Linked DNA regions of Mus musculus. The protein of the gene in region 2 interacts with the protein of the main gene of each other region in a pairwise test. Links are inferred from orthologs where the notes say so. Each region holds a gene or a part of one and is shown on either strand. Other genes may lie near its edges.

What was found.
Region 1: the proteins of Agtrap (region 2) and Nkg7 interact in binary tests that used the Homo sapiens proteins (3 or more experiments, as listed by UniProt). The two-hybrid records come from large-scale screens. The link is inferred for Mus musculus from reciprocal best matches to the Homo sapiens genes AGTRAP and NKG7.
Region 3: the proteins of Agtrap (region 2) and Pitpnc1 interact in binary tests that used the Homo sapiens proteins (3 or more experiments, as listed by UniProt). The two-hybrid records come from large-scale screens. The link is inferred for Mus musculus from reciprocal best matches to the Homo sapiens genes AGTRAP and PITPNC1.
Region 4: the proteins of Agtrap (region 2) and Tbrg4 interact in binary tests that used the Homo sapiens proteins (3 or more experiments, as listed by UniProt). The two-hybrid records come from large-scale screens. The link is inferred for Mus musculus from reciprocal best matches to the Homo sapiens genes AGTRAP and TBRG4.
Region 5: the proteins of Agtrap (region 2) and Txn2 interact in binary tests that used the Homo sapiens proteins (3 or more experiments, as listed by UniProt). The two-hybrid records come from large-scale screens. The link is inferred for Mus musculus from reciprocal best matches to the Homo sapiens genes AGTRAP and TXN2.
Region 6: the proteins of Agtrap (region 2) and Pimreg interact in binary tests that used the Homo sapiens proteins (3 or more experiments, as listed by UniProt). The two-hybrid records come from large-scale screens. The link is inferred for Mus musculus from reciprocal best matches to the Homo sapiens genes AGTRAP and PIMREG.
Region 7: the proteins of Agtrap (region 2) and Mief2 interact in binary tests that used the Homo sapiens proteins (3 or more experiments, as listed by UniProt). The two-hybrid records come from large-scale screens. The link is inferred for Mus musculus from reciprocal best matches to the Homo sapiens genes AGTRAP and MIEF2.

What each region holds. Positions count from the first base shown.
Region 1 is NC_000073.6:43,435,670-43,439,124, reverse strand, and holds Nkg7 (protein NKG7), read right to left. Parts: upstream 1,988-3,455; 5' UTR 1,822-1,987; coding exon 1,665-1,821; intron 1,589-1,664; coding exon 1,442-1,588; intron 1,351-1,441; coding exon 1,216-1,350; intron 1,087-1,215; coding exon 1,028-1,086; 3' UTR 879-1,027; downstream 1-878. Other genes in the region: Lim2 (lens fiber membrane intrinsic protein), read right to left, coding at 3,416-3,455.
Region 2 is NC_000070.6:148,081,431-148,085,432, reverse strand, and holds part of Agtrap (type-1 angiotensin II receptor-associated protein), read left to right. Parts: intron 1-1,439; coding exon 1,440-1,474; intron 1,475-3,056; coding exon 3,057-3,162; intron 3,163-3,674; coding exon 3,675-3,870; intron 3,871-4,002. UniProt on the Homo sapiens protein: Appears to be a negative regulator of type-1 angiotensin II receptor-mediated signaling by regulating receptor internalization as well as mechanism of receptor desensitization such as phosphorylation.
Region 3 is NC_000077.6:107,233,132-107,237,133, forward strand, and holds part of Pitpnc1 (cytoplasmic phosphatidylinositol transfer protein 1), read right to left. Parts: intron 1,372-4,002; coding exon 1,216-1,371; intron 1-1,215.
Region 4 is NC_000077.6:6,615,638-6,619,639, reverse strand, and holds part of Tbrg4 (FAST kinase domain-containing protein 4), read left to right. Parts: coding exon 1-84; intron 85-529; coding exon 530-643; intron 644-1,035; coding exon 1,036-1,180; intron 1,181-1,431; coding exon 1,432-1,677; intron 1,678-2,010; coding exon 2,011-2,122; intron 2,123-2,217; coding exon 2,218-2,332; intron 2,333-2,925; coding exon 2,926-3,027; 3' UTR 3,028-4,002. UniProt on the Homo sapiens protein: Plays a role in processing of mitochondrial RNA precursors and in stabilization of a subset of mature mitochondrial RNA species, such as MT-CO1, MT-CO2, MT-CYB, MT-CO3, MT-ND3, MT-ND5 and MT-ATP8/6. May play a role in cell cycle progression.
Region 5 is NC_000081.6:77,922,169-77,926,170, reverse strand, and holds part of Txn2 (thioredoxin, mitochondrial precursor), read left to right. Parts: intron 1-1,504; coding exon 1,505-1,628; intron 1,629-4,002.
Region 6 is NC_000077.6:72,040,619-72,045,390, forward strand, and holds the start of Pimreg (protein PIMREG), read left to right. Parts: upstream 1-1,883; 5' UTR 1,884-1,916; intron 1,917-2,398; 5' UTR 2,399-2,431; coding exon 2,432-2,719; intron 2,720-4,362; coding exon 4,363-4,640; intron 4,641-4,772. UniProt on the Homo sapiens protein: During mitosis, may play a role in the control of metaphase-to-anaphase transition.
Region 7 is NC_000077.6:60,726,818-60,731,306, forward strand, and holds the start of Mief2 (mitochondrial dynamics protein MID49), read left to right. Parts: upstream 1-1,580; 5' UTR 1,581-1,750; intron 1,751-1,845; exon of another isoform or gene 1,846-1,909; intron 1,910-3,465; 5' UTR 3,466-3,471; coding exon 3,472-3,618; intron 3,619-3,812; coding exon 3,813-3,975; intron 3,976-4,098; coding exon 4,099-4,489. Other genes in the region: Flii (protein flightless-1 homolog), read right to left, coding at 310-372. UniProt on the Homo sapiens protein: Mitochondrial outer membrane protein involved in the regulation of mitochondrial organization.

The DNA.
Region 1 (3,455 bases), on a different chromosome or scaffold from region 2:
CTTTAGGCACCTCTGCTTGGATAGTATCATTCCTGTGCTAATGAATGTTTATAATCCTACTACTTGAGAGGCTGCCATAGTAGGACTGCTATGAATTCAAGGACTGCCTGGGCAGTTAGTGAAACCTTGCCTCAAAAAGTGTAAGAGAGTTTGAGGATGTAGCTAGGTGATCAAGGGCTTGCCTTAGCTGGCAGGAGGCTCTGCATTCCGTCTTCTATGTTTAACCAAAATAATAGTTGCTAAGTGTCATATCTGGTTAAAAAAATGACATGCCTGGGCTTAGTTTTTTTTCCCACATCCTCAGGCTGTGGCTGTCATCTGCCTGTGTCAAAGACTGGTGGTTAGAGCTTGGGCGTGATGCATATCAATGTCCCCAGAGTGGACCACAGAAAGAGAAGAGGGGAAAGGGGGGGGGAAGAGAGAGAAATCTAGTAAGAGAGGTCATTTGGTGAAGAAAAGAGAAAGATAGAAAGAACGACACTAAAGACACGAGAGAGACACCCAGAGCTTATGGCCACCCAGGGCAGAATATGCTATAGGTAGGCAGGTCTGCCTGCATAGCTCTCACCCTCCCTGAGAGATCCTGTGCCACCCACCATAGGCTTATATATGCATGACTTAGGTGCTGGGGATGCAACTTGGACCTCATTCATGCTCAGCAAGTCTCTATAACTGAGCCATCATCCCAGCCCTCTTGTTTAGCTTTGTACCTTGAGGTAGGGTCTCACTACGTTGCCTTAGCTGGCCTTGAACTCTCTATGTTGCCCAGGCAGACTTTGAAGTTGTGATGCTCCTTGCTCCAGCCACCTGAGTAACTGGGATGAGAAGCCTGGCTCGGTTTATGTCTTGGCTAAACTGATCTTGGAACAATAAGATCTCAAGCATGCTTCTTTATTGAGTGTGTGAAGAAACCAATGAAGGATAAGGCAAGGTGGGAGGGACAGAGACAGAATTCTGCATTCCTTTTGTAGCTCCTGAGAGGACAGGCTCCAAACATCCTGATGACCCTGCTGTCCTTGGCTGCTGTTCACAAGGTTTCATACTCAGCCCGACGGGTTCTACAGTGAGCACCCAGGCTCAGGCAGCCTGGTGTGGAGAGAAAGCGGGGGAGGGGGAGGGGGGCAGGGAGCAGAGATTAAGTACTTGAGTGCCCTGCACTGCCCTGCGCCAGCCCCCATCGTGGTCCTCCCCCAGGGAGGTGGGCTGAGTAGTCACCTGCAAAGAGGAAGAGGATGAAGGAGACCCAGCCTAGGTAGAAGGACCAGGAGAAGAATGTCTGGACTTGAGAAAATGGAGTCTGGCTCCATCTCATACTGGTGTACACTGCCATAGCCACTAATATGGAGAGAGCTGGGGACAAGAACAAGAGACAGCTGAGCCAGCTTGGCCCCTGCAGGATTCACCAGTCTAGGTGTCCCAACAGCCCAGATCCCATTCATACCTGCAGAAAAAGCCATGACAGTTGAGACCAGAGGGCCACGGCCGGGAGCAGACAGGGCTGGGATGCAAGACAGAACCAGGAAGCTCACAGACACCAGGCCCCACAGGACAGCCAGGATACAGAAGCTCTGTGTCACATGGATATAACCTAAGGAAGATGATGTTTCTGAGTGTCTGTTTCCCACTGGACATTCCCACCACCAAAGAGCCCATTGCCCCTTTACCTGCTACTTGAGTCTCTTGGCTTGTTGGCCAGAGGCCAGAGTGGGCAGAGAAGTGAGGACCTGTGGCCACTATCCAGAAATCAGTGGTCAGAGCAATCAGAGAAGAAGTCAGGCCCAGAGAGCCAGCAAACAGGGCCAGGGACCGGCAGGGCTCCATGGACACAGCTCTGGGTTTCCACTTCTTAGGGGACAAAGACACAGATGACCCAGACTGTTGGCTCTTAGAAAAAGAAAAAGGCCATGCACCCGAATTCCTCGTCTTCTGAGCCAGAGAAGCAGCTAGCAAGCAGCGGCTTTGTCCAGGAGTCCTCTGTCTGATCTGATTCTTCTCACACCTTCCCTACCCCCTCCCTTCCTGAGTGGTTTGGCCTCCCCTCTTCGATTGGCTCCTCTCCTCCTATGTGGTAGGGGTGGGCCCTGCAGAAGCCTTTACTTGCTTGCAGCTCTGGGGGTATCTACCCTCGTGTTCTAGGTAGTGGTTTAGACTGTTGTCACAGGTTCTGCACAGGTTCTCCACAGTTGGAGACAACTGGTTTCCTGGAAGACCTTGGGGGTGGGGTGGGACTTGAGGGGGTGCCCAGAGGTGGGAGGTGGGCTAATCATACTAGGGTGTGAATTAACTGAAAGGGGAGATGTGGCTGAGGAAACAGTTGTGTCACACTTTCCTGTGGTTTTTACACTCTGAGACTCTAGCATTAGAGTTTCCAACAGTAAAGGGGCAGTGGGGTCAAAACACCAGTCCCATAGGAAGAAGGACTTGAGTCGGTGGGAGCAGAGATTCCACATTCCTAGTCAAAGCTTCTGTCCAGGACAGACAGGATTCCAAAAAGCTTGAAGAGGAGACGACCTTCCCACATCCTCATCACGCAGATAGAGGGAGAAGTCATCACACCTGGGTTGGACCCTCCAGCATAGGCGTCTTAGCACCAAGATGAGGGTGTCTGGGGAAGTGGAAGACAAAGTGACACTTCTGGGTCCTCTGCCTCAGGTCCTCCAGTAGTGGGCAACAGCTCCTCTACAGGCAAGCACAAAAGTGTTTCCGCCATCTCTTGATGCAATGACATAGGTCTGCCTCCCCAACACTCAAGAGATCTGAGGCTGAGGGATCATGAGTTTAAGGCTAGCTTGGGCTCCATGAGACCCTGTCCTTCCAAAAATTAAAATAAAACAGAGAGAGGAGTAGAGCTGTGTGTGCTGTCTCGGGTGAAGGGGCCAATCCAGGGACTGGGGGGGGGGGTAAAGAATTGTCTGGAGCATAGGTGGGTGAGGAGCAGGTAAGCTTTGTTCAACCTATTATCCTAACGTCCATTTCTAGACATTAAACCATGGCTATCTCCTAGGTAAGGAGCCATTTGTCTTGTTCTCATCCCTGATAATGGAAGAATGAGGCTACCATATCAAACCTTCTTGCCCCGCCCTGCCCCAGTCCGATTCTTACCAAACCAGCCCTTTGAAGAAGCACACTTTGACAGTTTCACATCAGTTTTATTAGATCACCAAATGTCTCTCTAAAGGAGCTTCCATTTTCTACCGCCCCTCAGGGCAGGTGGGGGCTTATGTCTTCTCAACTCCCTCCCACTTGACCCTACTTTTCCTCCCCACACAGGACAGAGGGATCAGGGGCTCCCTATCTAGAATCCAGGACTGAGCCCCCTCATTCCCTCAGGAGCCAGGACTTCCGGCCTCTAGGTCCTCCCCTTCCTCTTCAGTGCCCTCACTGTAACTTCCAGCTGCAAGTTTTACCCCAGGGCTCAGCGTGGGGTGGCTAGGCGCCGGCACTCATGCATCCGG
Region 2 (4,002 bases):
AGTCCATAGCCCCAAACAAAGGTTAATTAATCCTCTTGGCCCCTAGACTTCTGCTGACCCACCCTTTTCTAAGTTAAACTTCCCTTCCCTCTGCCCTGCCTTTGACCTTGGAGATCCTGACAGTGGAGAGAATGCTGGCTTCGGGGCGAGGTTTTAAGGCCAGGCTCTGACAGAGTTATCTGTGTGACACTGAGGAGGTTACTTGACCTCTCTGCACATCAGTTTGTTCACTGTAACAAGAGGTGGGAAACAAGCTGTGCCTTCTAGGGCGATGAGGGGATTAAAAACTCAGACCAGCTGGGCAGAGGCGGGCGGATTTCTGAGTTCGAGGCCAGCCTGGTCTACAAAGTGAGTTCCAGGACTGCACAGAGAAACTCTGTCTCAAAGACCAAAAAAAGCCGGGCGTGGTGGCTCACGCCTTTAATCTCAGCACTCGGGAGGCAGAGGCAGGCAGATTTCTGAGTTTGAGGCCAGCTTGGTCTACAGAATGAGTTCCAGGACAACCAGGGCTACACAGAGAAACCCTGTCTCAAAAAACCAAAAAAAAAAAAAAAAAAAAAAAGACCAAAAAAAAGGAGGGAACAAAACAAACAAACAAGAGAACAACCGTCAGATCAGAAACCAGGTCTACCTTTGCAAGCCCCTGAAACAAAGCCAGACAGAAAGCAAGCTCAGAACAGGGGTGGTTGATCTGGGCTTTGCAGCTGGGCTGTTGCTTGCCTTTCTGATTGGACCTGGTGTGCTGAGTCTCTAGTGAGTTCTGCTCCAGTTGGCCCTGGAGGCAGTGTAGGCAGAAGATTCGTGGATGGAATGACTTCAGAGTGAGGATCCCCGCCCCCCCCCCCCCCCCAGGTGAGGAGCACTGGCAAGCTCCTGCTTTCCCTGAAGCCAAGGTCCCCTTGGGATAGATGCTCCCTGTGTGATACACACACCATCTCCACCACCGAGAGGGCCTGCATTCCGCAACCAGCACCAGTGACCCCTGCTGCCCTAGCTTGTTGACCTTGTTTGGGGAAGAGAGTCCCCCATAGCCCCGCCCCTCCCCATCCCCCCGCTCTGGCTCTGCTCCATTCCGCCCTTCCCAGTTTCTCTTTGAGAAGCCTCTGGTCCCTCCCGCTGCACATTTCCAGGAAGGGCTGGGCCACTTGGCTCTCTTTCTCCCTGCAGCTTTCTTGGAAGTCCTATCACTGAGGGCTGATTATATTCCCATTACAAAGAGAGGGAAACTGAGGCATGAGAGGCTTATTCTCTTTTTTTTGTTGTTGTTTTGTTTTCTGTTGTTGTTTGTGACTGGGTTTCTCTGTGTAACAGCCCTGGCTGTCCTAGAACTCTGTTTATAGACCAGGCTGGCCCCAGACTCAGAGAGGCCCACCTGCCTCTTCCTGAGTGCTGTGCCTTTGCACTCACAGACTTATCCAACCCCTGTTTTTGTGCTACAGGTTATTCTCCTGGTTCACTGGCTGTTGACAACCTGGTAAGTGACTCTGGGTGTCTGGCTGTATCCACGTCTTCTGGCTGTGTGTTGTGTCACCTGGGGTCAGTGCTCCCGGGTCCTGTCTGCCTGGCCAGGTCCCATTCTGCACTGTTTCAGTCCATCACATTTAGCAGTTCGTTCGGCGCAGGGCTGGATCTATCTTCCATCTACACAGTGGGATAAGGACAGGCCCCTGCGGCAGTGCGTACTAACCAAGCCCCTAAGTGGGGCTCCAGGGTGCAGCTGCAGCTTGACCTCACTGTCACTTCGGTCGTGTGTTTGGAGCTGCCAAAAGCAAGTCAGGAAACCACTGAGATCACGTGTGCTTTGCAGGCTTTGAGGGGCAGTGGCCAGGCCAACTGCTGTAAGCGATGTAAACAGCAGGGAGTGGGGTGTCACTTTCCCTGCAGCTCCACATTGGTGACTAGGCTGAGCTCACACCTGCTTTCCCGAGACCGAGAAAGACTGGAAAACATCGGACCTCTTGGCCTAATTGCTAATTCCACTGTTCCAGTCCCAGCCCTGCTAATGGTCGGGTCCCAAAGAAACCCAGACAACGTACCCGTGGCCCCATCCAGTTCCCCCAGCATCACTCAGTATCTGTGGCCCTGCCCAGTTACCCCAGCATCACTCAGTACCCGTGGCCCCGCCCTTCTCACTCTGCCCCCTACCCTAACCCTCTCCAGCTCGCGATCTGGGCTTCCCTTCACCTAGCTTCTGATTCCGTTTTGGCTACCTGCTGTCTTTGTTCTGCCCTTGGCTCCTCTTCTGGACCACTCTATCTCTCTGCCCCTCTCAACCTCTTTCTTTCTCTTCCTCTGATGCTTTCCCCCACACCCCCCATGGCCTTACTCATTTTGCTGGCCATGCTCAGTCGGGATCCTTGCGGATACCTCTGCTGTCTCTCTCTCATATCTACAATAAAACCTTCTCCTCACCCATTCCTAGGATCGGTCAGTCCTCATGGTCATTCATTGTGCGACTGTGTGACCTGGTTAGTCACCTATTAAGTCGGTGACTTTGAGTCTGTAAAATAAGACTCGTTAACAACACCTCCCTCCAAAGAGCAGCTGTGAACCAATGAATTTAGAACAAGTGGGGCAGAGTCAGGTCCCAGGAAGTGCCCCGTGTTAACTGTGATAAGCCGGCTCTGCAAGCAAACTAGTAGGCAATGTCAGAGATACTCTGAAAACTTGAGCAGGGAGGAGCTTGGTCAGGCCTGCATGAGAGTGGATCTCTCAGGCAACGTTTGAGCTCTTAAGATGGCAAGAAATGGCTGCCTGTTCAGGAAAACGAAGCCTCAAGGGTGTAGCAGCCAGGAGGTAAGGGTGGGGCTCTCGTGGGAACCCCATAGACAACAGCAAAAAAGGTATCTTATTCCAAACCGGTGGGAAGGTTGGCTTGGAGGAGTCACATGATCTGATTCACACTGCCTGCTATTTCAATAACTGCCTGCAGGGGGCAGGAGTGACTATTCTCAGAGGAGGTTAAGACCCTGGAACAGGGGGAAGGAACTGTGTGGACGGGGTGGGCACCTCAAGTTGGTGACTAGCTGATTGATAGTGTGTGTCTCTCTGTGCAGGGGCTGCTTGGTGTTCTCAAGCTCCTATGCTTGGGGCAACTTCACTATCCTGGCCCTGGGTGTGTGGGCTGTGGCCCAGCGGGACTCTATAGATGCCATAGGCATGGTGAGTTGAAGTGGGGAAACTGGCCGTGCGCCCCTCGTCTGCCCGTGTCTTCTCTCTCCCTCATACCCGACCCTTTGCTGTTCTGCACATGGCAAGCCTAGCGAGGCCAGCCACACAGCAACCCACCTCTGCTGCTGTCCCCCTCCAAGACAGACATGGGGGAAGGTCACAGAACCCCAACGGCTCCTTAGGAGAATTACAAAGGGGGTTTTCCTTGTCTTCTTGCAGTGTAAACAGAAAGTATGGACTCCAAGGGACTGTCCCTCTCAGAAATTCTGGAGACAGGCCCCTTATGACCTCAATGGCAGGAGATGGGGCTGAGGAATTCTGGGGCAACAGGCTAGAGCCAGACTTGTATGTTGTGCTCTTAGGCCACACAGGTGCCAGTCACAGGCTGCCAGTCACCAGGCTGGGGTGTGTGTGTGTGTGTGTGTGTGTGTGTGTGTGTGTGTGTGTGAAGCTTGGGGTCTGGAGAGTCAGTGGCCATGATATTGTGATGGTGTCCCTTGCAGTTTCTTGGTGGCTTGGTTGCCACCATCTTCCTGGACATTATCTACATTAGCATCTTCTACTCGAGTGTTGCCACTGGGGACACTGGCCGCTTCGGCGCCGGCATGGCCATCCTCAGCTTGCTGCTGAAGCCCTTCTCTTGCTGCCTCGTCTACCACATGCACCGTGAACGAGGGGGTGAGCTCCCCCTCCGCCCCGGTAAGTCCTGCTCTACCCCGCCTTCCCCTGGTGGCCCTCCCTTGGCCCAGAGCACAAGGGGAGCCAGGGAGGTTTCGGCTCACAGAAGTGGCCTGGAGCCTCTGCCGCAGGGACATCTTCCTTCTGTCTCCA
Region 3 (4,002 bases), on a different chromosome or scaffold from region 2:
AATTTGAACTTCTGTTTTCTCTGCTTCAACCTCCAGAGTGCTGGGATTAGGGTGTGCACCACCAAAACTGGTTTCTGGAGTACTGAGGATGTAACACATGGCTGTGTGAGTGCTAGCCATGCAATCTGTCAACAGAGCCACATTGCAGCCCCTGGGACAATTGGGAATTATTTATGTGTCTGTTTAAAATTTTATTTTGTTTTTACTTTATTAATTTGGTCTTATTTGAGACAGAGTTTTTCTGTTAGCCCTGGCTTTCCTGGAACTCAGTCTGTAGACCAGGCTGGCCTTGAACTCAGAGAACCACCTGCCTTTGCCTCTCAAGTGCTGGGATTAAAAGCATGCATCACCACTGACCAGCTGTCTAAAATTTTATAACATTTATTTATTGCTGTGTGCGCACACGCTCATGCAAGCCTCAACACTTGGCTGGAGGTCAGAGGATAAATAACTTGTGGGTATCAGGTCACTCCTTTAGCATGTGCATTGAACTCAGTTGTCAGGCTTGGCAGCAAGTGCTCTCACTGGCCCAATTATTTATCCTTATGTAAATGAGAGCAGTTACACAGGGCTCTGCTTGGCACCTCCTGTTCCATTATTTTAGAGTCATATGGAAGAGTCCTATTTAAGACCTGGAGAAAACTTGTGCCATCAAATTGATTTCTGCCCCCAAAGTTAATCTGTTTTCCAAAGCGAGGGCCTGGTTAAAGTCTGCGCTCTGGGCTTGGTCATCATCCTTTAGCGAGGGGACAGTGGAGGGAGAAGCGTTGGGCCCACTTGGAGCTCTTGTTCTGCCTCTGGGGGCCTCTTCTGCTTACGGTGCCTATGTGTGCAAGTTCTTCCAAGGGGGAATTATCCCTGGGAGCTGTACCCAGAGATAAGCCTTCTGGGCTCTTGCCCGGTGTCCCTGTCTGAAGGTAGATTAACCTAACTGGCAAAGCAGGACATAACATTCTGTGAATCCAACTTCCCAAATATACTCATCTGGTAGATTCAGAGGTCAGAATGAGAAATGATCTGTAAAACTGCTACACAGAGTAGTGGGAGAAAATTACACCCTTGTAGAAAATGCATTTTCACCTCTAAGTATTTTCTAGATATAAGTACTTGGTACCATTTCAGCATTGGGGCACTGGGCAAACATTCTATCTCCTACCAGGCAATGATGGCAATCGGGACCTTGTCCACATCCCAGGGACCAGGTCAACAACCCACCTTGTGCACAAATTGTTCCACTCGGGTCTGAAGGCCCCACACCTCGAACTTGACGGTGACCAGCTTGTAGGAGCACATGATGGGTTGATGGTTGTCTCGCCAGCCTTCTCTTAGCTGCCCTCGGCCTGTCTTCTCAGACTTGAAGTGTTTAGGATCCTAGAAAAGACACACCAAACAAGCCGGTATGTTAATACTTCATAGCGTGCGTGGGGCAGCACAGGCCTGTAACCCCAGCTCTTGGCAGGCAGAGGCAGGGTGGTCAGGAGTTCAAGACCACCTCAGTTATATTGAGTCTGAGGCTAGCCTGGGCTACTTGAAACATTGTTTGTTGTTGTTGTTTTAAAAAAAAAAAAGCTATCTATATGAAATGTCCAGAATGGGCAAAATCCACCTAGACAGAAAGTAGGCCATGGTTACTAGGGACTAGGAACAGGGAGGACCATGGAGACTACTAAGGGGAGCACTGATGGGGCTGAAGAGATGGCTCAGAGGTTAAGAGTGCTGACTGCTCTTCCAAGCAATTCCCAGCAACCACATGATGGCTTACAACCATTTGTAATCGGATTGAACACCTTCTTCTGATATGTCGGAAGACACAGCTACAGTGTACTCATATACATATAAATCTTAAAGGGGGGGGGCACTATTTCCTGGGAGGAGCTGGAGAGGCTTGGGAAATGCAGGTAAATACCCTTGCCATGCACGCTTGAGTGCCCAACTTCCATTCCTGGAATCCACATAAAAAGCCCCATGGGAGGCTTGAGAGATGGCTCAGCTGTCAAGAGCACTGATTGCTCTTCCAGGGGATGTGGGTTCGATTCCCAGTCCCCACATGGCGGCTCACAACTGTCTGTCACTCCAGTTCCTGGGTACTGACACCCTCATACAGACGTGCGTGCAGGCGAAACAATACACATAAAAACATTTAAAATGACATTAAAAAAAAGCCAGATGTGGTGGTAAACATCTGTAATCCCAGTATACTTATGGGGAGATGAGACCAGTAACCTATGCAACTGAGGTTGCTGTACAAATGGAGAAACAGAAGACCAAGCAGGTAGGAGGGACAATGGCCTCCTGAAAGCTGTCTACTGACTCTATGCTCACACACGTATGCACACGCACGCACACATGCACACACATGCAGGCTTAAAGAAATAAAGCTAATAGCCTGGTCTAGCGATGGTATTCATGGTGGAAGACATCTTTATGCACAATCTGAAACTGTATCCCTGCATGGCCACTCAGATTTAGCTCGGAATAAATGACCTCTTATTCCGGTTTCACACTGACAAGGCAGGGCCTCTGTCCTTCCTCTGTTGCTTCTCTTTTGAGAGTCTGTCTGTGGCACTTGTCAGCTGAAGATACAACTACATACAACACCATGCTGGGAGGTGGCTCAGATGGTCGAGCGCTTGCCAGCACTCATGATGTATTCTGCAGGAGCAAGCAAGAGCTCTAACCACTGAACAACCCTGCCAGGACATCATTAACTTTCCCCAAGGCTTCTTTCTCCCTAGCTAGCCCTTCTTTTTCTGCCCATCTCTCCTATTTTTTTTTTCCCTTCAGGAGCCTGTCATGTGTAGCCCAGGTGTTCTGGTCACCCCCCACAACATTGTGACCCTTCTGGAGCACGGAGGGTTCTCCTAGCTAAAGCTCCAGCACACCATGGGCATCCACAAACCCAGTTCTTTACACCACTATGGCAAAGCCTTTATGCCATCTCTCCAGTCTCAAGGTATGATTCTTGATGGCTCCACACACACACAAAAAAAATTTAAATTATAGTAGGCTATTATGAATCAGAGTTTGGGGAGAGGTTGTATGTGAATGAGAAGTCTACTGTATTACCACAGCCAGAAGGTAAAGTCTGTAAAAGCTAGTAGCTCGTGTGTTAAGGTCAGAGGAAAATCCAGGACTCAGTTCTTTCCTTCCCCGACATGGATTCTGGAGCTCAAACTCAGTTCCTCAGGCTGGGCAGCAGGCGCCCAGAATAGAATGTCCTAAGTGGACAGTGATACTCTGGTTTTATGTCCTCAATTTACTAGACAAAGACACCGAGACTTGTGAAAAAAAAAATCAGATATTTCACCTGAAGATCACACCAGGCCAGTGTTCTTTCTGCCACATTTACTTTCAAAATTAAATAGCCTTTTTTTTTTCCTCTTTTTTAAACATAACTCAGTCCTGAAGAATCGATTAACAGTTGGGCTTTGTATGGGAACAGGATGTTCCCCACCCAAGACTGGTGTCATATCTATAGCTGATAATTTCGTCTAGTAAATCTCTAATGTGGCCTATAATTAGAGATTCCCGTTCCAAGTGCTGGAGAGAGGTACAGAAGGAAGGCTTCCACAAAGATACCTTTGATCCAAACTCTGAATCAGATGTGAATGGACAGTAGTGAGCCAAGAAAAGGTGCTTGTGTGTGTACACATGTGTCTACGTGAGTGTGTGTTTGTGCATGCATGTGTGTGTGTACCCATATAAGCCAGCAGGTATAACTTGACTTAGCTTAGACACACACCATACGTGCAGGTGAAGGTCAGAGGACTTTGTGGTTCTCTTCTTCACCATGTAAATGGGTCAAATGTAGGTCACCAGGCCTGGCAGCAGATGCCTTTACCCACTAAGCCATCTTATCAGCCTGGCTATTAGGGCTTATTTGTTTGTTAGCTTCTTTCTGTCCCCCCACCCCAAGACAGAATTTTTCTGGGTGTCCTGGAACTGCTTCCATAGACCTGGCTGGCTTCAAACTCACCGAAATCTGCCTGCCTCTGTCTTCCA
Region 4 (4,002 bases), on a different chromosome or scaffold from region 2:
ACGCCTGGAGAGGTGGCCCGCTGCGCCAAGTCCTTTGCCTTCCTCAAGTGGCTCAACCTGCCTTTGTTTGAAGCCTTTACTCAGGTGAGTTAGAACCGCAGGGTTATCTGTAGAGGCCTCCGTAGGGAACTGCTGCTTAATTATGAAGGCAAAGCCAAGCTGAAAATACTCGTTTGTGGGTCGTAAATACAGATTTCTCTTACTTTGATTTGGAAAGTCATGTCTAATAGTGAGGGGAAACATTTAGCAGTTGCCTGTTTTGTTCCTGAGTGTCCTGGTTCCATTTATCTTGGGGCAGCCATGGCTGTATGGGGGGGGGGCAGCTTTGTACTCCCAGCTACTGACCACTCTGAGTAGTATTGTATGCAAGCACGATGCCTGGGTGCATGTGACCCTGTAGCTGTCAGACGGCTTCTACAGCCACTATCAGGGAGTTGGATACCTGAAGCTGCCTCTGGTTGAACAGTTGGAGCTCTGGAGAGGGGAGAAATGGCCGCTAGGCCCTGACTTTGTCCGTCTAATGTCATAGCACCTCCTCAGCAGAGTGCAGGATGTCTCCCTGTCCCATGTGTGCAGCGTTCTTCTTGCCTTTGCCCGACTGAACTTTCATCCTGAACAAGAAGAGGATCAGTTCTTCAGCATGGTATGAGCACTGAAATGCCACTCCTGACATGCTGACTTCTGGCTCAGGCCACTGTCTAGGAGTAGGGGGTGGGAGTGGGCACAACATTTGACATGGGAGAATGGGTAAACTACTGGTATGATTCTGAGAGCAACCAGCCAGGGCAAACAGCTACATCACCATCTAGATGGCCTGATGAAATAGTCTTACTTCATCACTGGGGAGTATCACAAGGGCTTTGAGACCTTGGGTCTCTGCTTCTGGACAAGGTGTGAGTAAAGTAGCTAAATAACACCAGGATCCTGGACTCAGGCACGAGGAGTGTGACAGTCAGGACCACAGGTTGGCGGCAGACTTCCCTAGGACGTTGTGGTCGCTGGCTGAGCCTGCTCTTCACTGTGCTCCTTGCGCAGGTGCATGAGAAGCTGGACCCCGTGCTGGGGAGCCTGGAGCCGGCCCTGCAGGTGGACCTGGTGTGGGCGCTGTGCGTGCTGCAGCACGTGCACGAGACAGAGCTGCACACGGTTCTCCATCCTGGACTCCACGCTCGGTTTCTAGGTGAGGCTTGTCCCTGCACTCTACTGTAACATGGAGGCTCTGCTCTGCCCGCCAGGGAAGAAACGGGAGCAGAGACAGAAGAAGGCCAGAGCACAACCTCCGGCCTTTTCCCACCACTCCCTGCAGTTGGCCTCCGATCTTAACTTGGGAACACCAGCCCATGGCTGGGTGGAAGCTACTGCTGTATCTCCTGTGGTCCCCATTCTGCATCTGCTGCTGTACATCAGCCTACCTTTTTCTCTCCCTCCCAGAGAGCAAGTCTCCAAAGGACCAGAGTACCTTCCAGAAATTGGTCCACATCAACACCACCGCCCTGCTGGAGCACCCTGAATATAAAGGCCCTTTCCTGCCAGCCTCAGCTGTAGCCCCCATCCCCTCACCCTCTAATAAAAAGATGACACCCCTACAGAAGGAGCTGCAGGAGACACTGAAGGCACTGCTGGGGAACACTGACAAGGGCAGCCTGGAGGTGGCCACACAGTATGGCTGGGTGCTGGGTAAGGGTTCCCCTTCTGTTGGGAAAAAGTCTAAGTCGTCTTCCTTTTTTTCATGTATGTGAGTACATTGTCACTGTCTTCAGACACTCCAGAAGAGGGCATTGGATCCCATTACAGATGGTTGTGAGCCACCATGTGGTTGCTGGGAATTGAACTCAGGACCTCTGGAAGAGCAATCAGTGCTCTTAACCACTGAACCATCTCTCCAGCCCCCAGGGTCTAAGTCTTACAGGGGCCTTTGTAACCCTGCATGGTATATCAAGCAACAACCCGGATTACTGTGGGGTCTCTGAGGCATCACCTACAGCATCTCACCCTGTCCCCTCCCTGCAGATGCAGAGGTGCTCCTGGATGCCGACGGCCACTTCCTGCCCCTAAGAAACTTCGTTGCTCCCCACCTTGCCCAGCCAGTGGGGAACCAGCCATTGCCCCCAGGAGCTAAAAGGTATGTGGCCGGGGCTCCCTGGGCGTGGCCTGGGTAGGGATACAGCGGGGGTTGACCTGGGAACATGCTTTATAAGTACCCTTTTCTCCTGCTAGGATCGCTTTCCTGCGCTGGGAGTTCCCCAACTTCAACAGCAGAAGCAAGGACTTGTTGGGCCGTTTTGTCCTGGCCCGTCGACATGTGCTGGCTGCAGGCTTCCTGGTAGTAGATGTGAGTACCTGTTGAGCAAGGGGACACTGCAGAGGGAGAATCCCCTAGACGCATATAGGTTAGATACCCAGCTCTGGAGCCTAAGCTAGGTACCTCCCCTTACCCCACACCACTCCACACACACAAGCTTGGCTTGCCTCCTGTGGGTACATTACACCGGAAGTGCTGCCCAGCCGTGGGACCTCTTGCTCTGCCTTTGGAACTAGGGCTCAGACCTGTAACTGACTGCTGCTGTGTGACTGTGGAGCTGAAGCACAGGGATACCTCAGTGCTCAGATCACAGCAAGTGCTTAGTTTCCTCCAGAGAGAAAGTTCAGAGCTTTGAGGGCTACATAAAGTTTCTATCAGCTTTTCTTGAGTAGCCTTGCTGGGACCTGTCTGGTTTGCAACCTCTTTGTCCCTGCCAGAGCCAGAGGACCTTTCTGTGTGCATAGCCTCACACTCTGCACTCTTCCTGAAGACTTTGAGGCCAAGGACTGGATGTTTAAAGCTGTCAGTCAGCAGCACTGACAGAGTGGGAAGGGCCACTGGTCGTGTAAAGGCAGGAAAAGACTCCGTAGTCCATGTGACCTGTCTCTACTACCTTCTTCCAGGTCCCATATTATGAATGGCTGGATCTGAAGTCTGAATGGCAGAAAAGCGCCTACCTCAAGGACAAGATGCGAAAAGCAATGGCTGAGGAGCTAGCCAAATGACCTTACCCATCAGTTCAGACTGCTCCCAAAGACCTGACTGCTCAGGGACCCAGCAGTGAGTGTTGGGCAGGCCAGAGTTGTCATCCAACATCAGAGAGATTAACTGTGTCTGTAGGACGTGGTCAGAGTAGGGGGTGCTCAGCATCTCCAAGGAACGGGTGGTCCTAATAAATCCTTTGGTTTGGTGGAAGCCAGCTATCTTCCCAGGCTCTGTATCTATCTCCTCTCTCTCGTATTTTGCACACACATACATATCCTCTTCCCTAGCTCTCCAGGATTCTACCGAGTGGGCTCTCTTTCCCCAGCTCCCCCATAATGCCTGTGTGCTGTGGCACAGCAGAGCAGGGCTGACTTGAGAGACAGAAAACTGAGACTTAAATGGGTAGGGTCCTGGACACTTGAGCTTCCTGGGAAATGTACTTGGAGTGTATAGCAGAGTTGTGATTACTATCTTGAGAGGTGCCCACACCACCCCCCACCCCCACACCCCCGCACCCCCGTGCCACTAGAGAACATCTGAAGGGAACAGGTGCTGTGAAGACATTTGGAAGGCCCTAGTTCTGGGACAAGAGTAAAGTCCACTTGGCTGATGCTACAAGATCCATGGCCAGACTCATTCTCATGACTACTACAGCCAACCCAGGGACCGCCCTTCAGGTGGAGCCCTGGGTCCCCTGCAGCTCTGAGTAGCAGCAGGATGTCTACCTTCTACCCTCTGCAGGAGTCTCCCATAGATAAGGCTCGCCCAAAGGGGAGACTTGCAACAAAGGGGGTTATTACCCTACTTGGTACATTCCTCAAAGCACCAGTCCTCTGTGTGACTTAGCACTTCTATTGTCCTGACAGACTCTTGGTTACCACAGAGGTGAGGGAGAAGCAGAAAAGCGGCTGGAACTGGCTTACAGGAAGGAGCAGCTGGCCACAACTTGTCTTAAGTTGAGGTGGGTTGGTAGTGCTGACAACCCAGTTGGGGAA
Region 5 (4,002 bases), on a different chromosome or scaffold from region 2:
TAGCTCACAAACTGTCTATATCTCCAGTTCTAGGGGAGCTGACACCCTCACACCAGTGCACATAAATTCAATTTATAAGTAAATAAAAAAAAAAGGGTTAACCTTTGTTTAGCTGGGCAGTGGTGGTACATACCTTTAATCCCAGCATTCGGGAGGTAAGGACAGGTGGATTTCTGAGTTTGAGGCCAGCCTGGTCTACAGAGAGTTCCAGGACAGCCAGGGCTACACAGAGAAACCCTGCCTTGGTCTGGTGAGATGGCTCAGTGGTTAAGAGCACTGACTTCCGAAGGTCCAGAGTTCAAATCCCAGCAACCACATGGTGGCTCACAACCATCCTTAACAAGATCTGACTCCCTCTTCTGGAGTGTCTGAAGACAGCTACAGTGTACTTACAATAAATAAATAAATCTTTAAAAAAAAACAAAACAAAACAATGAATTTATTAAAAAAAAAAAAAAAAAGAAACCCTGCCTTGAAGAACAAAACAAAACCAATTCCAGCACCTAGCAAGTAGAGACAAGTGGATCTCTGAGTTTGAGGCTAGCTTAGTCTACAAGTCAAGTTCCAACCCGACAAGGGCTACAGAGTGAGACCATGTTCCAAACCAACACCTCCATCCCTCTCCTCCCCCCCCCCCCAAAAAAAGGAAAGAAAGATGCTTTTAGCAATCCTGAGGTGATCCTGGCTCTCTTGTTTTATCAAACAAGACTGGGCTTCACTATGTAGCCCAGGCTAGCCTCAACTTCCTGTTCCTCTTTCTTCCTGTCTTGGTTTACTTTTTTTTGTTGCTATGACAAAATATCCTGACAAAAGAAACCTAAGGGAGAAAAGGAGCTGGCCACAGTTGCAAGCAGGGTCCATCACAGTGGCGGGGGCTTGGGGCAGCTGGCCATATTGTATCCATAGTGAAGCAAAGCGTTGCTGTGCTCAACTCCCCAGCTCCCCCTCCCACACCCCTCTTTTTAAACATTTATTTATCATGTGTGTGCATACATACATGCTCGTACCATGTTATGCATGTGGAGATTGGAGGTTAGCCCTCTGGACTTGACTCTCCCAGCATGTAGGCTCCCAGCGGCAAGCACCTAACTTGCATGCTCACATTCTCCTTCTCAGAATCCTAGCTCAGAGCCACCCACCCACCCACAGCTGGTGGCTCTATCCCACCTTGGTTTACATCATCAGAATAACCCTCCATGGGCATGCCCAGAGACCCCTCTCCCGAGTTCAGGAATTACCGGACTGCGCCCCATTGCCAGGCTGTGCTTGCCATCCTGTCATCTGTAAGAACTCCACATGCCCTGGTTCTGTCAGGGGCCGTTGTCTCTGAAGGTTCTGCCTAGCTCTGAGAAGGTTCCAGCACGAAGGCTGGCCGTTGCAGACGCTCCTGGGTTTCTATCCCTTCCATTCCCCCCTCAGAATCCATGTGGGGCCCGGGGAGGCTCTGGGGAGAAATGTGGAGCAGCGAGCACTCAGGGCTGACTGTCCCTTCTCACCTCCAAAGGTGGTGTGGCCCCTGCAAGATCCTAGGACCGCGGCTAGAGAAGATGGTCGCCAAGCAGCACGGGAAGGTGGTCATGGCCAAAGTGGACATTGACGATCACACAGACCTTGCCATTGAATATGAGGTAGGTGTTGGCAGAGCGTTGCCTCAGGGAAGCCAAGGCAGGTGCGCTGTGACCAGTAAGTGACGTGTCTGCTGTTGTTCTGGAGCTCTTCAAAGGTCTCGGGGCTTTGCGCTCGTGGCTCTGTTGATCCACAGACACCCTCAGGAAGTGGATTATGTGACCACTAGGTCCTCCTGTGTCATTGTTCTTTTGAGATAGGGTTTCATATCATGCAGGCTGTCCTTGAACTCCGGATACTCTTGCTTCAGCCATTCGAGCGTTAGAGTTATAGGAGTGTCCACCATATTTGACTACAAGCCATCCTCTCAGGTCTTCCTGCCCTGTCCACCTCACTGGCTTCCAGCCATTGCTTTATGAGCCTTGGCATGTGTGATCGAGTTAAGGGGACAGAAGGGGACACCCGTGTCCCCAGGTGTCCCTTGTTCTGTTGCGAGATGATCATTTTACCCTGAAATGAAAAGTTGTCTGAAAAGAGACACACTGCAGGTTGTTCTGAGGGAGTGGCCAGGACGGGGAAAGTGTCACATTCCAGAGCCTCTGACCTGAATTGTGAGTGAAGGGTGCAGAGAAGAAGAGAGCTGGACACCAAGTCCTGAAGGAGCCAGAATGGTGCCTTAAGTCTCACTACAAAAACAAGGAAGACAGGAAGGGATTGGCCTGTGTGTGTGGGCATCCTTTGCCTGACGTGCAGGAAGTGGCAGCAGACTACACTGAGCTTGGGTCTGGAGAGATAGCTCAGCAGTTAAGAGCACTGACTCGTGTTCAGGGGACCTTGGTTCAATCCCCAGCACCCACATGGCTGTTCACAAACATCCGTAACACCAGCCCCAGGGGATATGGCTCTCTTCAAGCCTCCCCTAGTGTAGCATCCCCAAGGTGTATTTGACATGACATACAGACAAAGCACCCACATAAAGGGGAAATTTCAAAACAAAACACACTCTGACCGCACCAAAGAGCATTCAGGAAAGTTGAGGGGTGGGAGAGATGGCGCAGTGGTTAAGAGCACTGGCTGCTCTTCTGGAGGACGTGGATTCAATTCAATCACTCCAGTCCCAGAGGCTCAGACGCCCTCTTCTGGCCTTTGTTGGCAAAATTCCCATACCCATAAACTTTTTTGAAGTTTAAATAAGTAAAAATATTCACATACAGCCAGGCTGTGGTAACTCATACCTCTAATTCTAGCACTCAGGAGGCAGAGGCAAATAGGTCTCTGAGAGTTCAAGGCCAGCTTGGTCTATAGAGCAACAGGCCGAGCTACACAGGGGAACCCTGTGTTGAAAAACAAACAAACAAAACATTAAAATAAACAATATCAAAGTTAAAAAACAAGTTTGCAATTTTCTTTTTTTTTTTTCTTTTGAAAAAGGGCTTTGAGTGTCTGAGGGGCAAGTGGCAGACACATGAGGCTTTTCAGGGCAGTGAGGGCTGAGCCCTCTCTGAAGTCCCCAGCCACAGGACAAAGTAAAGGCCGCAGCATGTTCCAGCCACAGTGTTTACAGCCTCGGGCAGCAAGTGGAACTTAGCCCGAGGGACATGGTCCACTCGGTGCTTTCAAGTATGGGCTCCCAGTTCAGAGGCCTTAGCAGTCACGGACACACACTTTGGCTTCCAGTGTTCAGATTTTTGGCTTGGGGACAATCAGCCAATGACGTCTGTGTAAAGTCCAAATTCTGATGGATGCTGTGGAGAGAGGAAATGCGGGGAGGGGAGGGGTGGAGGAGGTCTTTCGTTTTCCTTTTTTTTTTTTGTTCTTTGATTTGGCCTTTTGAGGGAAAATCTTTTGAAGCTCAGGTTGGCCTTGGCGTCACCACCTAAGAATGGCCTTGCATCTCTGATCTTCTGCCACCTTCTAAGGGCAGTGCTTACAGGCACGCACCTTCACATCTTTCAGAGGACTCTCGTCTCAGAGGAAGTAACGTGAGAACAGAGACCTGAATGGAGCAGCGAGTGAAGCTTACGTGTCTCAGGAAAGAGCCCCTAGGCAGGGCAGACAGAGGCCCTGGGCTGGCCACAGACCGTGGGGGTGGGGGTGGGGGTGGTGCAGTCTCCTGTGGGCCCTGGACCACCACCGCAGTTGAAGAAAGAGAGGTTCTTTGTGGCTATGGCTGGGGGAAAGGAAGAGCAGGGTTGGGAGGCCCAGTGTCTGGGAGAGCAGAACAGACTGGAACAGGAGCTTCTGGGCGCCGACAGTGACACTCTGTCAGGGCCGAGGTCACACCTGGCTGCCTGGGGACCAGCTCTGCTTCACAGACATGTTTGGTCTGGCTCTGGAGAGTTTTAAAGAAAAGGAAATGTGGTTGCAGAGATTTAAAACTCAGGACTTGTGCGAGCCAGGCATGGTGGTACATGTCTGTAAAGCCAAGCCGGACAT
Region 6 (4,772 bases), on a different chromosome or scaffold from region 2:
GACAGAGAGAGAGACAGAGAGAGAGAGAGGGGAGTGTTTGTGTGTGTGTGTGTGTGTGTGTGTGTGTGTGTGTGTGTGTGTGTGTATGTGTGTGTGGTTTCTTTCAAAGAGTGGTCTTAAACATGATATGTCCTGTGCAAAAAACAAAACACAAACACACAGTCACAAAGATAAATGCCTACAAACATATCCTCTGCCTAGCCAGCTCATTGTCAAGGTCTCACGTTTAGATAACGGTACAGTTCTCTGATTGATTATTGGAGATTTGGTCTGGAAATACTTGTCTCTCTACACATGCTGAACTTGAGACCCATGGGTGTAAGAAGGAAGAAAGCACAGAGTTTAATAAGTCACAAGTTCCCCTTGGTGAGATTAGAGAGACTTTGGGGGAGCAGGGAACCAGTGTCTTGGCTCTGTTGGCTTTATGCAGCCAGCAGGAGGTGACAGGACCCAGAAGAGTGCTGGCTTCAGGAGTCAAGGGAGAGACCCCAGCTGGAAAAGGGTGGGGTCTGAGGAGCAACAGTGAGGGGGTCAACCCTGGTCACACAGACAACGTCCCTGCATGCATGGCCTTTGGGTCCTTCACCCTGCTACAGTTAGTGAGTGAAGTGTACGGCCAGTCTCTCCACACCCCAGCTACCTCACAGAGCTGCAGAGCACTGGGGATAAACTGGGCTTGCTGATAGAAAGGGAGTGTTTGCAAGTGCTACACACAAATCAACCATTATTATTATAGGGGGTTGGGAGGTAAACACTGAGGTCAGGAGAGGGTCAGACAATCCTGACACCAGGAAGAGGCCTGAAGAGTCTCTAGGAGTCTCACTCCAGGCTGAGGAAAGGAGAGAGGAGGGAGAAGAGAAATTCTTTTTTGAGGACCGATAAGAAGGCCCCATTGTGGTGGCACGCCAGGCCCCTTGATTTCAATCTTGGGGAGGCTGAGTGTGGCCAGTTAGAACCAACCACCTCTAACTCCAGCTCCAGAGGGTCTGACTTCCTCTTCTGTGTCGCCACCACGCCACCCCACAGGCATTTACATGCACAGAGACATATAATTAAAAATAAAAATATTTTTTTTAAAAAAAGTCAAAACCATAAAAATGAAAGCATGGGAGAAAGTGACCCAGCCTGGGTTGCTGTTGTTTGTCGTCGTCGTCTTTGTTTCTTGTTTTGTTTTTTTAGCTTGCTGGCAGACTACAGGAAAGAAAGATTGAAAGATGCGTAGAGCAAGACCCGGCAGAGGAACTGACCTAACTGTGGAGAGGGTGATCTACAGTCTGTCCCCTCCTCTGAGATGTGCTTTCTTGGGCGCCGCCAGCAGGGTGTTTGTTTGAGGAACAGACAGGGGCAGGGCCATCTCGCAGGAAGGAAGAGAATTACGCGGGGAATTTGAAACAAAACTTCCCAGGGATCGCAAAGCTCGGCAGTCCCAGCCTATCGCTTTGACAAAACTACTTATCGTGGGAGAGAAGTTAGGCGGGGTGAAGGACTGAAAGGGGCGCGTGCCCTGGGTGGCGGTGACCTGAACCCCCGCAGCATCCTGCACCCTGACCTGCATGCTTGAAGAAGAGAGCTTGGGAGAACGATGGACTAGGCGCGGTCGCCTGGGACCAAGCAGCCGGGATGTAGGGAGGCGGGCTGGTCGGTAACAGTGATCCGGTGGCGACCTGGACCCCTCTGCGGCGAGCCAGGTGGGGGGTCTACGAACGATGTATGGGCGTGGCCAGGCCAATCCCAAAGCAGGATTTACAGTCACGAGAGAAAAAGACCAATCGAAATCCGGGGCGGCGGTGGTGGATGGCTGATAGGGCCAATGGGCTGCAAGCGCCGGGGCGGGGCGGGGCCGCGCGGAGTTTCAAATCGGCTGCGGTGGGCTAGGAGAGGGTGTTGATCTTCGGGTCCGGGTATCGAGCAGGGAGGTGAGCATGCGGGGTTACCGAGGGGCTTAAGGAGGGGGGTGGGGGACGGTCTCACGGGGAGCTCTGAATGGGGAACGGGTCAGGAGCTCTGGATAGGACCCACAAGACAAAGGGAATGTCTAGGAGTTGCAAACGCCCCATCGGATCCGAGGCCTTGGCTGGATTGCTAAATCTGCTCCGGAGAGGAAAATTTGTGAAAACAGCATACTGCTGGTGCCCTGCGTAAGCGCCGAGGCTCCGTGACCTGTGTGCCACTCCACTTAGCCTATGGGGAATAGGCTAGGATGGAAAGACGGACAAATTGCCGCCTTGCAACGGAGGCAGCTGCTGACCATGATGCCATTGGTCATCTTTCTGGCATCCACAATTGCCCAACAGGCCTACCCCGCGAGGTTCCACTTCATCTCTTTCCCAGTTCCCAAGGTCCCTGGAGCCTTGGAATGGGGTCAGGGAGTACTTTGATGACCTTTTGACCTCCCCAGGATCTAGCGGGCAGCGGAAACTGGACCAAGCACATGGCGTCTCAGTGGCAGGGCATGAGGACCTCTGTGCGCAGACGATCACTCCTAAAGGAGGAACAGCTAGAGAAGAAGGAGGTGACCCGGTCTGCTGGGGGTCATCCGGAGACCGGTCCCTTGGGCTCCCTGTGCAGACAATTCCAAAGGAGGCTGCCTCTGAGAGCGGTCAGCCTGAACCTCGGTAACGGCCCCTCCTGGAAACGCCTGGAAAGTCCAGAGCCAGAGCAGCAAGGTCTTCAGGCTGCAGCTCGCTCAGCCAAAAGCGCCTTGGGTGCCATGTCCCAGGTAACAATGACACCACCAGCCGTCTGTTTACAGAAGCGTCCTTGGTGTTGACTGTCCCTATCCTCAGGGAGACCCCAGGAATATAGACTCCATGGGGTCTTGGGGTTTGATTAGGTTCTTGCCATTTTCCCAGAACCCCGGTCATTCTGGCACATAATAGTTTCCCAACAAATCAGTAGGTGAATAAAGTCATGGAAGAAATTGGTGTTCCCCATGCAAGGTGACCTGCCATGTCCTGTGATAGAAAATTGCAGGAAATGGCTATCTATAAAGAGATACCAGTCTCAAGCTTAGTGGATAAAGACTTCCTAGAATAGGTGACTCTTCCAAGATCACTCAGGAAAGGGGAGGTGTATGTAGGCACAGGGCCAGTGGGATGCTGTGAGTGAGTCCAGCGTGGATGCTGAAGAGAAGAGTCCCCAGTGTGAAGCTAAGCAGTCAGTATAGTGAGAGAGGTGATCCTGTGTGCTGACCCCCATTTAAAGTCTCCCAGTCACACTCTTACACCTTAGCTGTCAACTATTTGGTAGAAAAAGGCAGAGGAGCGGGGCTTGCAGAAAGGGTGCAACTTCCTGAGCGGTTCAGAAGGCAGATTTGAGGGGTGGTGTTTGTGTGTGGTGTGTCCAAGAGCCTTCGAGCAGATATCTTCTTTTAATGTTTTAATATTTATCTATGGGAGGAGCGCTTATGCAGTGGTACTTGTCTGGAGGTCAGAGAAGGAATAAGGTCTCCCTCCACCGTGTGGGTTCTGGAGATCACACGAGTTGCCTGGTTTGGTGGCAAGAAGATGTACCTGTTACGATATCATGTTGACCCCACCTAGGTCTTTAAACCTGGAGCTGGAGATGTGGGCAGGTGTCCCCTGGACAGGACAGAAGCTATGAGAATGAGCAGACCTCTAAGAAGAGAAGGGGGAATGGCCCCTGGCATCTTGCTGGCATTCTGATGGTGTAGGGAGAGAGCAGAGGCCTCTGACGACTCCACAGAGAGGTCTCCTTGCCAAAGTCTAGCTCTGACTTGGAAGAGCCCTAAGATTGCTTTCAACATCGCTATAGCTCAGAACAATGAAATGTGACAGTTTGTCTAAGGTCACCCAACTCATGAAAACTTATCTCGGGCCTTGCTCCAACTTCTGGGTTCTGGTTTGCCAAGGCAAAGACAATCTAGCAAGGCTGTTTGACCCAGCCACATGTTGAAGATCCAAGGGTTGGGACTCAGCCCTGTAGATTATTGGGAGCCATGGAAGGGCTCAGAGCAATTAAGTGTTATGAGCAGACCTGTCATTGAAGTATGTTAGACTGAGATGGAGGAGGGAAGAGAAAGAATAGGACTAAGGTAGGATCCAGAGCTGGCATCCAGAAAACTGAGCCTCCCTCACTCTCTGAGTTAGTCTCTGCCTGGGGGCTCAGATGTAGAGTGGTCTTGCTGCTACCTGCTGAGTTACCACACTGGATCTCAGGAAGGTCTTGGAGGAGAGTACCATCTCATGGGGAGTCATGCTGTTGCTCTTGGCTTACTGTTGCTGCTGCTTAGTAACAGCAGACTGTGTTTGTGGGGCCAGCCCTGGGCTGGAAGAATGGCTAGAGCCTGGTAGCCCACCTTGGTCCTATCTGTGCCAACCTTCTCACATGAACCCATCACAGAGGATCCAGGAGTCCTGTCAGAGTGGCACCAAGTGGCTGATGGAGACACAGGTGAAAGTGAGAAGGAAGCGAGGAGCCCAGAAAGACAGAGGGTCACCACCACCCAGTCTGAGCCAGAAGAACACTCGGCTATGCAGGGCCAACCGGGATGCTAGAGTCGGGGGACATCTTCGCCTCTCTGGCCAGATGGGTCCGCATGCCCATCGCCGTCAGCGGCTAAGGAGGGAGTCTGCCCTCCGGAGCCCCTGTTCCTCCACAGAACCTCTCTGCTCTCCCAGGCAAGTAGTCGTCTGAGCCCAGGAGGACCTCCCCTTCTGTCCCACGAGTCTCCTCAGTCACCTGGGACGAGAATGCCCTGATCTGTCACATCCTAGTTCTGGCCCAGGTCTGCCCCAAAGCTGGTGAGGACC
Region 7 (4,489 bases), on a different chromosome or scaffold from region 2:
AGCCCCTAGGACTGGAGAGAACCCCGAGTTCGCGGAGGGAGAAGTGACGTCCCGAGACCACAGTGTGGGGCGGTGGCTGGCTAGGGCGTATTCCCTCGGTGGCATGGGGTCCGGTTCGCGGCCTGAGGGCTCAAATCCCGCGCGGCCCCAGACCCCCGGAGCCCCCGCCCAGGTCTTCCGCCCCGGGCGGGGCAGGCCCGGGAAGACTCGCGGAGGCCCGCCCGCCCCGCCCGCCGGTCCCGGAAGCGCAGAGGAAGCGGCCCGGGGAGACGGCCTAGGGGTCGCCTTTCCCCTTCTCCCCCAGCTAACCTTGAAGTCGTTGCCGCTGAGGTCCACGCCGCGCACGAACGGCAGCACCCCGGTGGCCTCCATGGTGGCGCAGCTCTCTTACGGGCAGGGAGGACGCGGGGCGGCCGAGAGCCGCGGGCTGGGTCAGCGCCGGCCCCGCCCCTTTAACCCGCGCGCGCCGCCTCCCGGCCGCGGCCTCTGCGGGAAGTGCTGCTAGGCGACTCCCAGAGCTGCGAGGCCTCCCTGGGACCAGAGTTCTGGGGAGGCCTGTAGGGGTCCCGCTGGAGATGATCAACACTTCCAGTCTCCTGTCGGAACGTGGAGGGTGGGGTCCAGGCACTGTCGCTTGGGCTGCTGTAGCCTCTGGGGCTGGCCGTGACCCAGGAGTGATGGTGGTAACAACGTCAGGGACACAGGCAGTTTGTGTGTGAGGGATCAGTGGTGGTGGTGGTGGTGGTAGTGGTGAGACTTCCGGGGCTTTGGGACCTAATCCTTCAGCTTCAGGACTCAACTTTGATCATGTGTAACACGGTCCCCAAAGTTGCCAGAGTACTCACATGTGGCAGCTTAGAGAGCAGGCTGCACAAACACTCACAATTCTCCCTTGGCATCAGGACTCCAGTCACCATTCTTTATTGATTTGTTTTGTGCTCTAGATCAGTGTATATCTCCTGGGCCAAGCTCTTAGTGGCCATCTTGCCCTGGCCAGCATACAGTAGGTTTCCCATAAACAGACACAGCTGTTCTATGGAAGTCCAGGGTCTGGCATCCCGGGTTTCAGGAGGGAAGAGACTGATAGAGTTCCCACGACAGATGGCAGAGCTCTTTTCCCATTATGTGTCAGGCAGGCCAAACGGAAATGGAACCACCAGGCACTCTAACAGGGGCGAACTTGAGAGGCAGAATGTGGGCCTTTGGGCTAACTGCAGTTTTGTCTGCCTGGCCCACCAAGGGACCATGAGCTCAGACTCCACACTGAGGCTCTCATTACAAGTACACACAAGGTCAGATGTGAGACTAAGTACGACTGCTGAGAATTCGATGTCAGTTGTGGCTTTAGTGTGAGGCCCTTTCTCAAGAAACAAAACACCCGAAAGTAAGTAAACTAGACAAGCCCCTGAATGATTGTCACACTCACCACCTCCCCCGCCCCCCTTGCGCTATCAATATAACCTTGCGCCTTTAAATCCGGAGTATGCTTGTGGTTTCCGCCCCAGACGGTCCCGGGGCGTGCCTGGCGATCATTGGCTGAGCTGCTCCGTTTTGAGCACGTGTGCGCAGGAGTTGTGCGCTCGGATTGGAGCGAAGGCCTGCTTATCCAGCGTGCCTTTCGGGTCACTTGCCGCCTCGGGCCTCGGCGTTCGGTTCCCGGGGTTTGAACGTTCCATTCCTAGGCGAGTCCTGGGCCTCCAGGGTCCTACTCGCCCTGTCCTTGGGTCCATGCGCTGACGCTCGGACGCAGGTACGGCTACAGCGCACCGGGTGGCCCGGTGTCTCCCAGCACTGGGCGTGGCGCGCATCCCGGGGCAGGTGGGGGCGTGGCCTGCGGTCACTGCGGTGGGAGGGAGGACTTGGGAACTGAAGAGCAGAGTTCGAATCCCAGCGGTGCCTCTTCCCGACTTGGGTATTGCACACGATTTCCAGGGCCACAGTGACTTCGCTCTTGAATAGAGTCTAAGAGCCTATTTGGTTACACGTTTCTGCTCAGTCATGATCAGAAGCAATCAGCTTTGGCCAGAATGTAAGAACAGGTGAAGTTCAGGCTGTCAAGAGTCGGGTTATTTTGTTATTTTTGTTTTGTTTTGAATAGAGGCTCTATTATGTAACTCTGGCTATCCTCCAACTCAGTGTGTAGACCAGGCTTGCCTTGACTGCCTCTGCCTCTTCAGTGCTGAAATTAAAGGCCTGCACCACCACATAGGGCCTAAGTGGGTTATATTTAGTCACCTATTTTATTCCTTTCTTACTGGAGTTTGAATACAAGACCCCTCTAGGTGTAGGGCTGAGTCCCACTTTAGACAGGTGATGGAATGCAAGCCCCTTCCATTTGCAGAGTGGCTTACTGCTCTGAGGGCAGTGGTGGGCAGTAACAGAGCAGAGCTGTTTCTGAGCTTGGAGTAGGCTCCCTGGCTGCCCTTTGACCTTACCAGGCTCGAGGACAGGGTCTTATTTTTAGTCTGGGGAGCATGGACAGGTGTCTCAGCTGAGTCACACAGTGCCTAAGGCTTCAGCTACTCTAGGCATCTTGTCACTTGGCAACTGAGTCCCAAGGCAACCATGGCCCTGAAAGAAGGGCTGAAGTCCTTGGTGCCCCGGCAGGCAATGACCTTTCTGGCTTAGTGGCCTGGGCCTGTGGATTTCTGTGACTTTTTCCCAAGTTCCTGACTGGGCCAGTCACACACTTCCCAGTCCTTACTGGTGCGGTCGTACAAATAAACAGAAGCCCTTGGCTCCGGGCCTTTCTCTCACCTTCTTACCCTCTCCAACTTTGTTCCGAGTCCATGGGCCCTGGCCAGCTTGTCCTGATTCAGTGTTTATTTAAGCCTACTTCACTCACCACTGCACCCTGGGGCCTTCAGCCTGGCTCTGATGGGGTTGCCCTAGCCCAGGTAGTTTTCTTGTCAAGGTCTGGGGGGGCCACTATCTAGATTCCTGAATTTGCTAAGGGTCTATCAAAGGTCTGACAGGCCCCACCCAGGCAAACTTTCTGGAAACCCATATTACAAGTATTTCTGGGCCTTTGGGTTCCTCCTGACTGGTTTTCACACAGTATGGCTGTTCTGGGTAGGTTCTGATTAGGAGTGAGGGAACTCGACCAGGAGGCATGGGGAAAATACTCAGGCTTTGGGAGTGGAAGAGTCTGGGGGCTGTGCTGTGAATCCCAGACCTTAGCACTCAGTTTGTGGCTTGGCAACTTTTGTCTTTGTAGACTCAGGGTGGTGATGTTGAACCCAGATTCCCAAGGTCTTGGGGTGGAGTCAGGAGAAAGGCCTGGATCCTTCCTATATGAACCCTTTTCCAGGGCTTGGAGGCTTGCAGGATTCAGGGAGGGGGCTGGCAGGTCCCCTGATTCCCTCCAAGAAACTCTTTGAGCAGCCCCTTTCTCACGGGTCCCCAGAAACCACCCTCTTGGTCATTGCTAAGCATCTATGCCTTACGAACTACATCTCTTTGCAGGTGACCATGGCAGAGTTCTCCCAGAAGCAGAGGAAACAGAGCGGCAGCGAGGGCCTGGGCAGTGTGGTGGACTTCCTCTTGGCTAATGCTCGATTGGTGCTAGGTGTGGGCGGGGCTGCAGTGCTGGGCATTGCTACCCTGGCTGTAAAGCGGGTAAGGCCAAGGGGGCAAGGCCTGCCTGAAACCTCCACAGGAGAAGGCCAGACTGGGGAGCTGGGGGACGGTGGGACTTTTGAGGTTGGACTGGAACACGGGGCCCCTACTTTTTCACCCTAGCTTCCTGGTTTGCTTTCCCCCCAGCTTTGCCATGGCCCCCGATGCTCTGATCTGTGTCACTTTGCCTATAGCTCATCGACAGGGCCACCAGCCCTCCAGATGAGGATGACACCAAGGGGGACAGCTGGAAGGAACTGAGCCTGCTGAGAGCCACATCGCCCCAAAAGCCCCAACCCCCTCCTGCTGCCTTCAGCCAGCCCCTAGCTACTGGGTCCCCCTCCCCCTCTGTGCCAGGTGAGCTACACTGCTTCTCTCTAGTGTGGTGAGCCCCTTGCACATGCCCAGCTAGTGAGCAGGTCGAGTTTTCTTAACTTGTGGGGCCTTCTAATATGTTCTCCTGGATGCTTCCCTCCGCAGTGGAGCCCACGCCCATTCATTCTCCCACGACACCTAAGTTCAGCACTATAGCACCCCTGTGCCTGACGTTCCAGGAGAGGCTGCTGGCCTTCGAGCGCAAGCATGTGATTACCCCAGAAGCCCACGTGACGTTGGCGAAACAGCTGGCTGGAGACATTGCCTTGGAGCTGCAGGCCTACTTGAGGAGCAAGTTCCCAGAACTGCCCTTTGGTGCACTCGTGCCGGGTGGGCCTCTCTACGACGGGCTCCAGGCAGGGACTGCTGAGCACGTGCGCCTGCTGGCGCCTCTGGAGTTGGAGCCGGGGCTATGGAGCCTGGTACCTGGCGTGGACACTGTGGCCAGGGAGCCTCGATGCTGGGCTGTACGCAGGACTCAGCTTGAGTTTCATCC